Schizosaccharomyces pombe: one gene and its partners. Changing the gene in region 2 together with the main gene of any one other region gives a genetic interaction. Each region holds a gene or a part of one and is shown on either strand. Other genes may lie near its edges. The genes, in order: siw14, alg8 and ubc6.

Evidence for each region.
Region 1: mutations in alg8 (region 2) and siw14 together harm fitness more than expected from each alone (negative genetic interaction), as found in Schizosaccharomyces pombe (one large-scale study listed by BioGRID).
Region 3: mutations in alg8 (region 2) and ubc6 together harm fitness more than expected from each alone (negative genetic interaction), as found in Schizosaccharomyces pombe (one large-scale study listed by BioGRID).

What each region holds. Positions count from the first base shown.
Region 1 is NC_003423.3:1,403,293-1,407,519, forward strand, and holds siw14 (inositol pyrophosphatase Siw14), read right to left. Parts: upstream 2,441-4,227; 5' UTR 2,175-2,440; coding exon 1,682-2,174; exon of another isoform or gene 1,658-1,681; intron 1,551-1,657; coding exon 1,465-1,550; intron 1,404-1,464; coding exon 1,327-1,403; exon of another isoform or gene 1,276-1,326; coding exon 1,068-1,275; 3' UTR 684-1,067; downstream 1-683. Other genes in the region: protein aim19, read left to right, coding at 1-21, 63-77, 126-219, 279-298, 520-683; methionine--tRNA (Met) ligase Rar1, read right to left, coding at 4,116-4,227. UniProt on the Schizosaccharomyces pombe protein: Cleaves the beta-phosphate at the 1- and 5-position of soluble inositol pyrophosphates. Has exopolyphosphatase activity in vitro but does not appear to contribute to the homeostasis of cellular polyphosphate.
Region 2 is NC_003424.3:4,485,491-4,489,764, reverse strand, and holds alg8 (dolichyl glucosyltransferase Alg8), read left to right. Parts: upstream 1-1,612; 5' UTR 1,613-1,697; coding exon 1,698-3,203; 3' UTR 3,204-3,621; downstream 3,622-4,274. Other genes in the region: sorting and assembly machinery complex subunit Sam50, read left to right, coding at 1-981; endodeoxyribonuclease Pnu1, read left to right, coding at 3,771-4,052, 4,169-4,274. UniProt on the Schizosaccharomyces pombe protein: Dolichyl pyrophosphate Glc1Man9GlcNAc2 alpha-1,3-glucosyltransferase that operates in the biosynthetic pathway of dolichol-linked oligosaccharides, the glycan precursors employed in protein asparagine (N)-glycosylation.
Region 3 is NC_003424.3:1,214,190-1,217,599, reverse strand, and holds ubc6 (ubiquitin conjugating enzyme Ubc6), read left to right. Parts: upstream 1-1,651; 5' UTR 1,652-1,671; coding exon 1,672-1,698; exon of another isoform or gene 1,699-1,738; coding exon 1,739-1,877; exon of another isoform or gene 1,878-1,961; coding exon 1,962-2,479; 3' UTR 2,480-2,812; downstream 2,813-3,410. Other genes in the region: RNA-binding protein Vip1, read right to left, coding at 1-429; RCC domain-containing protein Ats1, read right to left, coding at 2,819-3,410. UniProt on the Schizosaccharomyces pombe protein: Catalyzes the covalent attachment of ubiquitin to other proteins. Functions in degradation of misfolded or regulated proteins localized in the endoplasmic reticulum (ER) lumen or membrane via the ubiquitin-proteasome system.

The DNA of each region.
Region 1 (4,227 bases), on a different chromosome or scaffold from region 2:
AAAGCTATATCCCTGCTTATGGTATGTGAATCAACTTCACAACGTGAACTAACTAAATTTAGCCTTTGGTGGTGCTTGTATGCGAAATTAATTAATTCAGTATTTAGCTAATTTCTATAAAACAGTAATTGCTTCTGTACCTAGAGCATTTAAACGACCCTATGGCGGTCCTTTCGTTCCTGGTTGTCTTTTGTGTGGTGGATTCAATGCTATAGGAGGGTATTTACAAATATACTTATTTCTTTTGTACTGTTCTATTTTACTAATTACTTTTTCAGTCTTGCAATTGCTAGTGGTGGTAAGTGATTTTGGTGACTAGTATTCCAATTCATTATATGTTGCCTTGGTAAAATACATAGGAATTTAAGGATAGACGTTTGATTTCAAATATTACTCCTCACGATCATTAAGCAGCTTTTATGAATGTGTTCAATTTCGTTTTAAAAAGTTTCAAGTCTTTGCAACTATTAGGATTGTTTTTCATTTGCTTTTCGCAATTTATTGACCTTACGAATATAGACTTAACCAACGGTTCAGGAATTTGTACAGCTTGGTCAATTGCCTATCTAATGATTAATGCTACCAAATCAATCAAATCTTTTCGACTATACCCAATTGCTCTAACTACATTCGCAACTGCCAACGCAGTCGGTTACGGGAAAACCTTCATGAATGAATATTAAAAAGTGATATATTATACGATATATACAACGTTGAACCTCAAAACCATTATTCCAAAAAAGAAGACGAAGAAAACGTGGTGGAAACACCACCGTATTTTCTTCAAATGTACAGTTACTTACTCCTATGAAATTCTGTAAAAATTCCTCGGATAGTAAATAGTACATATATATAAGCAAACAAGTTTATGAAAGAATTAAAAATTATAAAAGAAAATGTTATGTAGGAGGTAAATCCTAATTATGTACCATCTGGTAGCTATTAAGCATTTAAGCTATAACTAGGAAAAAGAACAAAATAGCGAAAGACATATATATATGGAACAGCCAAGTGATAAACACAAATAGAAAAAGTTGAAAAACAGGAATACTCTATAAGGCATTCAATTACGAACCGGGAGAACGACAAGTTTCATTCACAGTAGCAGCTTGCACTGTCGGAGACTCACTGGACAAAACGACATCAGCTAATTCTGAAGATGAATCACTAATATACCGTTTCAAATCATTGAGAGAAGACTTTAGAGATGGATCTGATGAAAAGTTCTGAATATATTCTTCGTCAACTTCACGTTCTTTGGGATGTGAAAAGGATCTTTATAGGTTAACAATTGATACGAAAACAATGAAATAAATGAAAACTTACATATATTCCTGTAAACGATTTCCGACTGGCCAATTCATCAATGCTCTTAGACAACCAATTACAATACCTGTGCGATGCTTAATGAATCGTTAGCAAAGCAATAATTAAGAAAATAATCTAAAGAAAAGAATAACCTACCTTTCCACGACTGCAATGGAGCAAAACAGGCCAATTTTCTTTATTTAAAAGAAGTTGTAAAGTTTTTCGTACAAGATCGTCAACGTCTAGCAAGCGGGTTAGCTAATCAAAGTAAAGTAATTAAAAAAAAACTTGAAACAAGGAATGAAGAATAATTAAAATATCTTTTTAATTTTTAAACAAAGTGTGCAACAAGTTAAGATGGTGGAAAGCTTACCTGAAATGTCGGGATTTGAGGAAGAGGAAATGCAATCGTTTTTCCGATGTTTGCTTCCAGGCATGGCAATATGATAATAATTAATGTGATGTTTAGTGAAGTAGTGGAGATCCTCTTCGGAATACTCTTCTTGTCTTAATGATATAATGGTACGGATGTGTAAGGATTCCAGGAAATTGAAATTAGAAGCACGTGGACATGCAGAACGATAAATAATTCCAGGATAAACGACCCCAAAATTATCTGGTACAAGCGGTGAATTGGAGAATGTCGAGGCATCGTTGGAAGTGTCAACTACCTTGATACCATCTTTATGGGCATTCAACTCTAAGCAACAAACTGGTTTTGCCTGTTCTTCCGAATTCACAGAATGACAATCGTTTAAACAACTGTCATGACTCGACACCTCGGGTATAGACATAGAAATTTGGTCCCTATCCGAAGTAATTGATATCAACTTCTTTTCAAGTTGGAATGGAAAAACAATGGCCATCAATCAACTACCCTCCCAAGCACATTCGAAAAATAAAGAAACCACTTAAAATGTTTCTCTAATTATGAACGATTGATGGTGCCACAACCTCAATTTGACTACTTAAGAAACTTCTAAACGATAGCGGTACCAGGACGACAAGCGTTAAGACCTGAACAGTAAATTGGAAATAAAGTACTATACAAAAATACTGATTTGGCAAATTTTGCCAAATGTATTACTTTTCTGAGGATATTGTAGATTCTTGGTGAGGTAAGGTATTTAGCAAATTAACCGGAGCCGATGAAGATGCACAAGTATACGGAAATTTACGGCATATTTATGTAAGCTAGAGAAGAGAGGGACGGTACACAGAAGCCAGAAATCTTTCACTGAATACTCTTATAAAATGCATTTTCACCTTCTTTTATTTGCGCGAGAATCCTATTAAAAACTACTATTCCATATGTCTTTTTTCAACCAAACATCTGGCACTGTAAGTCTAATCAGTAAGTCATAGATGCTAAATAGGAAGAATTATTCAATCCATAATAAAAAAAAACACTATAAAAGCTACAATCGAGTGCAAACAAACAATTCTTTTTCAATACAAAATAAATCGATATAATTTCCGCGACTTCAGTAAAATGCACTATATGAAGCCAATGATAGGATTCTGAGGCAATCTGTTAAGGAAAAAACGGTACCTCTTTAATATTATATTTTGATATGAAAGATACTATATTAGTACATAATCGTTCATATGTGAGTGTGAAAAATTGAGTAAACAAACCAGTAAAAAAAAAGGAATTATGAAAAAAAATTGGATAGAATTAAATACTGATACAGAAACAAGTATTAGAAGTTGAATAAAAGTTGGAAGCAACCGCATTGTTAACGAGTTGAATAATTTGATGTTTCAACTCTGCAATGTTAGGATACCAGTGATGCCGAGCAGCTCATCGAATTAAAACATAATCGAAATATTCATGTAAAATACTATTAATATACAATACAAATTACATTCATGAGTGATAATACATTTGGATTCGCAAATTCTTCGCAACATTATACAAAGAGTATGAGTATTCTTCTGTCTATAATTAGCACTATAAATTATTTTAACTTATACAGCAAATGTCTACGGCCATACCTAGGCGAAAACACCAGTTCCCGTCCGATCACTGCAGTTAAGCGTCTGAGGGCCTCGTTAGTACTATGGTTGGAGACAACATGGGAATCCGGGGTGCTGTAGGCTTCCTTTCATTACTGTATTCATTTTTTTTACATTACTTACACATGTTAGTGAACACAATGAAAGCAAACGTTTCTAAAATGTTTCAACAGACACGGCATGGTATATTAAACACCGGAATGTCAATTACATATGGTTTTTAAATTTGAGTTAATTCTTCTGTAAAAAGATAGTACCTACTTCTTTTTTTTATAGAAGAATGCCTACAAACACGTTTCTCATTGACCATAATAATTTTGCTATAATTGATGCTAACTAATATTGCCTTAAAATCTCCTTATAAACTCAAAAATACAAAGTAATCTTTTTAAATTGGCTGTTTTCTCAATTATGTATAATTTGGCCAACCTCGATCGACTCAGTAATTAAAATTAAAGCCGTAGTGAAGCTTTCTCATACTCTCCAATATGAAATTAATTATTGTGTGCGCTCACCCATCATTTTATTTACTATAAACAGCACCGTGGTGAACAGTTATAGTAGTACCAAAAAACGAATCTAATAATCTAACCCCTACAAAAGAAGTCTTCTACACTTTAATATACATTGGAAAAATGTTGCTCGCGACAGTGGTAATTATTTGTAGGTCCAATAAAACACCCTTTTTCCATGTACCCCAACAAGAATAACTTTTAAAAAAAGAAAAAAAAACGGTGTAGCAGATTTTCATTGATGGAAATAGAACCACTATTTTCACATTGGTTAAATTAGTTTGATCCATTACCACCATATTTGCTGCGCCATTCTTCTTCCATGGACTCATCAATGCGGGTAAATAAGTACTCAGGCTCGCCAATTCTATGTCCAGGAAGTAAGCAA
Region 2 (4,274 bases):
GCTAATGTTCTTGCAAGAAATGTTTTTGGAGGAGCTGAACTTCTTTCTGGTAACGTTTCATATGGAACTCGTAATCGGTCTACCATGTCCGTGAACTTTGAGACCCCAGTAAACGCAGATCCTAAAACCCGTTTACGATTCAATGGCCACAGTAACTTGAGAGACAATAAATCTATTTCGAGCCATGACTTACTTACTAAAGGAATTACGCTTTCATTGCAGCATCAAGATCTGTGGTCTGGCGAGCATTTACTTTCACAAAACTTATTGTGGAGGCAAGTTACTCATCTCACTGAATATGCTTCTCCAAGCGTACGACTTGAGGCCGGTGATTCATTAAAACAATCTCTTTCCTATACGTATACACGCGATACACGCGATCATCTTATGATACCCACGAAGGGAGATTATGTGAGGCAGACTTTAGAGCTCGCTGGGTTCGGATTTCTTCCAGGAGATGCGAGCTTTCTAAAATCAGAATTCTGGGGTCAAAAAGCTGTGGCTTTAAATTCTTCTAGGTCTGTTTCTCTTTCTTTGTCCGCCCGGATTGGAGCATTGCATAGTCTAAATAAGAAGCAAGTCAGTCTGTGTGATCGTTTCATGTTAGGCGGTTCAACTAGCCTTCGTGGTTTTTCAGAAGACCGTATAGGTCCAAAAGATGGCAGGGATTCTTTAGGCGGGACCGCATATATGGCTTTCTCCATGAGCTTGCTATTCCCTTTGCCAAAAGTTGATGCTTCTAAACCATTTCGCTTACAGTTGTTTGCGAATGCTGGAGGGCTATCGAATTTGACTTCTCCAAATCCATGTGGCACATACAAATCAATACTTTCTAAGCCTTGTATCTCTACAGGCTTAGGTTTAGTCTATGCAACTCCCGCTGCGCGTTTCGAGCTGAACTTTACCTTACCAATCGCTACTACCGAAAAGGATATCGGTCGTAAAGGCCTGCAATTCGGCGCGGGTATCGATTTCATGTAATGATTTTCCTTTTTAACTTTTTACTTTAATAAGGTCTCTACTATTCCCATCTCTGACTTGTCTGTCTTTTTCTCTCATTTATGCTAATGATAAGAATGTTACGGTTGACAATTGCTTTTACTGCGTTTGAATTAAATTTTCATGCATATTTATAATTGTCATACAAATATTTTGCTTTTGGTCAAGATTTATGAATTTCACAGAATTTCAATAACCATATATGAATAAATTTAAACGAAGATAGTTACATAACATCAGAGTATCTTTTGTATTTTTATTATTAAAAGAAGATTAATAATTGCAATTAGTCGAAAAATAAACTACGACTTTAAAATGAGATAGAAGAGCCTTTAATCCTTCTTTGAAGGTCTTGCTAGCTAGAAAAAGCGCATTAGTTTATGTTTGGGTTTCAGATATTTGGTTCGGAGTCTTTCCAGTAAATGCAAACCTAAGTTGTATGCAGCAGTAATTTGGTATTGGAAAATATGCTTACCAACTTTCGATTGTTTGCAAGCACGCGTATAACATGCTTTATTAATCTTTAATTTCCCAACAATAATGTTACGAGGTATATAAGTTTAACGAGGGTAGGGTCAGTTCAAAGTGTGCGTTTCAACTACTTCCATCTCTCAACTTTGCGAATCAGTCACTGGGAGGACATTCAACATTTACTTCATTTAGCTCATTGGTTTGACTTGAATGAATAATCAATAGAAATGGGAAAACTTTCTATGCTTTACAATGCAGCGATCGCTAGCACATTTGTAAAGGTATTTCTGTTCCCATCATACAGATCAACTGATTTTGAAGTCCACCGAAACTGGCTAGCCATCACCCATTCCTTACCGATATCGGAGTGGTACAAATCTTCGATTTCAGAATGGACGCTAGATTACCCCCCATTTTTTGCTTACATGGAATGTGTACTTTCATGGATTGCATACTTCTTCGGGTTTGACAAAGCGATGCTTGATCCTTATAACTTGAACTACGTTTCGCCATCCACTGTTGTATTTCAAAGAGGATCTGTTATCGTTTTAGAATTGGTTTTGCTTTTCGCGTTGCGAGAATATGTTCTATCATCAAATGTGAAGGATCAAAGAAATGCTCTACTAACAGCAATTGATATATTTCTGTCACCAGGTTTACTCATTATTGATCACATTCATTTTCAGTATAACGGTTTTCTATTTGGTTTATTACTTTGGTCTATCGTGCTGGCAAAGCCAGAAAAAAATATGTTATTATCAGCTGCGATCTTCAGTGCTTTAATATGTTTCAAACATATATTCCTCTATGTCGCACCTGCTTACTTTGTATATTTATTACGTGTTTACTGCTTTACTCCCAACTTTCGCCCTCAGTTTTTAAACATATTAAAGCTTGGTAGCACAGTAATTAGTATTTTCTTACTAGCCTTTGGACCGTGGATTTACATGAAACAAATACCCCAACTTCTCTCAAGATTGTTTCCTTTTTCCCGTGGTCTTTGTCATGCTTATTGGGCACCTAATTTTTGGGCCTTGTACTCTTTTGTTGATCGTGTTGCTTTTGCTGTTCTGCCGCGTTTTGGCTATGCACTAAATCAGGGAACGTCAATAAATGCTCCTACACGTGGTTTGGTTGGGGAAAGCTCTTTTGCTGTTTTACCAAACATCCCCCCAGCACTAACATTTTACATATGTCTCGGTCTTCAAATCACTGTTTTAATCAAACTTTTTATTAAACCCACATGGCGGGTTTTCGTGGGAGCTGTCACTCTATGTGGTTGGATAAGTTTTTTGTTTGGTTGGCACGTACATGAGAAAGCTATTCTGATGGTAATTCTGCCATTTAGCATATTGTCTTTAATTGACCGTCGGTACTTGGAAGCATTTCGTCCATTAGCGGTTTCTGGTTACCTATCATTACTTCCCTTATTATTTACTCTTAATGAAGCCCCTATAAAATATTTGTTTACAGGTGCTTGGATTGCTATGTTATTAACTTTTGACAAATGTGCGCCTGTTCCAGTTAAAAGAGTTTTCTTACTCAATAGAGTAAACATTGCTTACATTTCAGGATTTGTACCTCTTTTCATTTATAACTGTTTTATTCACAAGTTGGTTATGGGTGACAAATTTGAGTTCTTACCTTTAATGCTTTTAAGTACTTATGCTGCATGGGGTATTTTCTGGTCTTTCGTTAGTCTTCTCTGGCTTTATTTCACCGATTTGAAATGAGATAATGATATTATGATGTGCCATAAAAAAACAAAGGTTCCAACTCGAATAAGAAAAGCGATTCTGTTTTTAAGCTTGATTTAGCACAGATGAAATGGAAATACAAGGTCATTTTCATGTTGTGTTGGTTCCATAAACAAAATGTTTTGTCAGTAGATGAAATCTTAGATCTCTGTAGATGTTTTTCTTAAATTAATAGTCCCTGTCAAAAAGTCGTTTTTTTTTTAACATACTGTTGTTTCCTAAAATTGGAATTATATATTTTTAAAATTAATAGATTTACTAACACTTTTTCTTGATAATAAGCGTGAATTTGGAATTATACATTCTAAACATCCACAAATGAATCACTTAATTGACTTTTATATTTAATGTTGTATTATTAATCGTAAAGAGTTAAATTTTTCTTACTTCAGAAACCTCGTAAAATTAATGTTTAACAATATATTTTTAATATTCTTCTTGGCCATAACGATAACTCCCAATTATTTAAAAACTCACACGCAGTGAATATTCCAATCTTCTCTTTACCTACACTCCCACTTCTTTTAATTCCCAATCGACGATATGTCTAGTAATCTTATCAAATCTTTTGGATTAATAGCAATTGGAGCGATCTCGGGTGTAACTTTCACGCATTTTTATTATAAAGGATATCAAGGATCCGATGTACCAGACTTGACACCCAGGTATACCAAATTTGACTCTGCTGGTCGAGCCTTAGAATCTATATATGATTTTAATGCCACCAAATTTTTTCAATACGGCATACCAGGACCAGTGGCAGACCAAAGGGTAAACCATGGCTATATGTCTGTGTTCGATCGGAGAACACGAAATCCATTCTATGTAAGCAAAAACACCGTTTCCTAAGCTTTCTTTACCTAGGAATTATAGATCACGGCAATAGATTAAATGTTTAAATTTCTGGTCTCTCGGAGTGCATTATATTAATAATAAACTAGACAGCGGAAACCATTACACAAGAATCGTTGAACCAACGCAAAGGCAATCGCAGGTACTCTGAGTTCGTTCCAGATGATAATATTCCTGAAATGTTTCAAGCAAAGT
Region 3 (3,410 bases), 3.3 Mb from region 2:
CAAAGCAGACTCGAGGATCCCCTTGAATTTTGAAGAAACGCCATAGCTTTGGTCTAGTTGAATACTCTTTTCCAAAGTTACATCGCTCAAATGATATCCGCGACTTAAAAGTTCAGAGATTATAGCTGAACGAGGCTTGTCTTCTTGACGAGCGGCTTGATCGCCTCCAGCACCTCCTTGATCGGTAGTAGAAGCAGCACCACCATCTTCACTGGTGATTTGGATTTTGTTTTGTCCAAGGAGAGCATCTTGCAAAAGTAAGGCCGTCTTGGTGGCGCTAGGGCGTTCAAATTGGATTTTCGCGGTTTGGGTTTCTCCAGATTTCTCGGTAGAGATGTTGGACACTTTACCGCAGAAAGAAAAGAAGTCTGAGATTTGTTTCTCAGTAACTTCAGGAGAGATGTTCGTTACAATAACTTGGTTGCTCATTACTTTTGTTTCAACTGGTAATATGGAGATTCAAAGTACGTTGAGTGCCATGGAGGCTGCTTTTAAGTAGTGATCATCGATGACGACATCCTCCCAATTACGATTAGATTGAGCCCAACGAAAAAACCACAAAAATGCAAAATTTCCTGACATTTCTAACTTGCCCTTAGCCTATATCACGGAAAGTTGACTTTGTGCTGCTTTGTTAATGCCACTACTTCATACTTTAAATCTGATATTACATTAATGAACGTGTGTTTTCAAAAGATTGCAATTATCGCGATAAGTGAGCCTAAATCAAAATGAAGCTGAAAATAGATGACAATTATCTTTTTATCTGAATATCACGATACAATTTTTATTGGTCACTGTAAACTAAATAGGATAACACTTAGATACTTTGCTGTACTCATGATTTCTTGACTTGGTATACTAGTTGGCTTTGTTCGTTGCATGGCAAAGTGCATAAATTGTGGAAAAAATATCCATTAAATTGCTATTACGAAGTAATTTCCGCTTCTACTATGTTTCGATAAATTCATAAACTTAGGACCGACATTAATTTTCCCGATATCGGCATATCCGGACAGTGAAAACTGATGTTTCTAGAAAACCGAATTTGCTGGATCGCCTTTACGGTCTTTCTAAAGAATGCGAAAGAAATATATGAATAGATTACCTCGCTTGTTCCTTTTCTCATGTTAGTCATCCAAATTGTTTCTTATTGAATAATGAGCAAAATTATCAGGTATATTGAGAAGGCAAGAGAAATATAAATGTTAGACCTACAATAAGTAAAACAAAGATAAGTTAAAGGCTTTCCTTGCTTCAAAGCATTTTTTAATCTATTTTCTCGATCTTACTTCCTCAATGTACATAGGTTAACAATATTTATATTTTACATTTGGGCTTAAGCTGCGTATAGAGAAAATAAAATATCATAAATATCATAGGTATATTGCTACAAAAGATAGAAATGAAAACCTCTTTTACAAGTAACTGTGTTATATTTACGAATTGGTGATTTGAATAAACCGTTGTACTTGAAGTTGGCACCTCACCTCGGAGTTTGTTGGTGTTTTATATTGATTAACCTACAAAGACACTTAGTCTAGTAGAGATTGTGCTTTGAATTTGTAAAAGACAAGAATCACCTAACTAGCCGCTAACCTGGTAATGTAACTGTGAGCGGATTATATGGTTACATGTTTTCTCACTTCCACAAACTTCACAAACACAACGATGGCGTCGAAAGGTGCTTATAAACGGGTATGGATTTATAATTTTAAGCTTCTTCTAATTATTTTAGTTAATGAAAGAATATCTAGCTCTTCAGAAAAACCCTGTTGAGCTTGTTGACGCTAAACCTGCAACTGAAAACATTTTGGAATGGCATTATATTATCACTGGCCCTCCGGACACTCCATATGAAGGAGGACAATATCATGGTATGTTTCTTTTAAATTTCCTTCTGTAATCAATATGTGCATGAACTTTTGGCTGTTGCCATCCTTTGCTAACTTTGCGTACAGGGACATTGATTTTTCCTCCCGATTATCCTTTTAAGCCACCTGCAATTCGCATGATTACTCCAAGCGGACGTTTCCAAACGAATACCAGACTTTGTCTTTCTTTTTCTGACTTCCATCCAAAATCCTGGAATCCCTCATGGATGGTTTCTACTATTCTGGTGGGACTCGTTTCTTTCATGACTTCTGATGAGATTACCACTGGAGGTATTGTAACTTCGGAGTCTACCAGGAGAACTTACGCAAAGGATACGAAGAGATTTAACATTATGGATAATCCTAAATTCTTAATAATGTTCCCCGAGTTAATTGACAAAAATAGGGAAGACATTGCCAAAGCAGCTGCTGAAGCGGCCCTAATCGAACCCCAACAAATTCACTCCACTCCTGTATCTTCCAATGAATGCAAGAAGAATGAACCGTTTAATTCAAAGCAAAGCTGGGTTAAAAGTCGCTGGAGCATAGCAGTTTTGGTGTTTTTTGCCCTTGCTTTAGCTCGTTTTTTTGGAGCTGATTCTTAAGATGTTATGCTTTGTATTTATTTTATTAACTTATGAAAGCGTTTTTGCATTTGATCCTCCGATAAAGAGATTAATGCCAAATAGCGCTTTGCCGTCCTTATATGTTTATTTTTTTTCTTTCGTTGCCTGTTGCCCCTTCATCTCTGCATCACATGTCGCGCTTCAATTAAAACTAAATGGAAGTTAATCTTTGTTCTAGTTTCTTTTTATAGACAATTGTCTCTTAGCAATTGCTTGATTTTTAGCTTACTAAACTACATTTTTTTAAATGTCGTCAAATGTTATTAAAGCTTCGACATTTCGGTAGAAAATAAAATTAAATTTTAGTTACTCAATTCATTATTTGTGATTTTCTTCAATCACTATCCAACTCGTTGCATATCCAGCGGCCACAATATAGGCCCAGCCTGGTAATTGAAGAGTTTTTGCATCATAAACATCTCTTTTATCATCATTCGAGGCATTTCCATGCTCATTCCAACCGTATATTAAAACACTTCCTTTCTTTGTCCTTAAAATATTGTGCTCAGTTCCACTGGCGATTTGGACGATATCACTTGCTTTTGTATGGGCCTTCTGAGCACGATCACAACGACCAAAAGCATAGACACAGCCTTCAGTACTTAATAGACTCAAGGTAGACCAGTTTGCTGATATAGAGCAGATGGAAGAAGACAATTCACTGTTATTTGCTTGCCAAGCATCACATTCTGCTGCTACATTCCACTTCTCCCCTCCTAAAACAATTACATGTCCTGTTTCTTGCAATACTGCACTGAACTGTACACCACATACAACAGCTTGAGCATGTTCAATACGCCCGAGAAATGAAACCTTGTTAACTGTTTTCATAACTACCGGTCCAAGTTGTCCTTTGCGGCCATCTCCACAACCATACAAGTTCCCTTCATTTGTAACACAAATCCAGTGT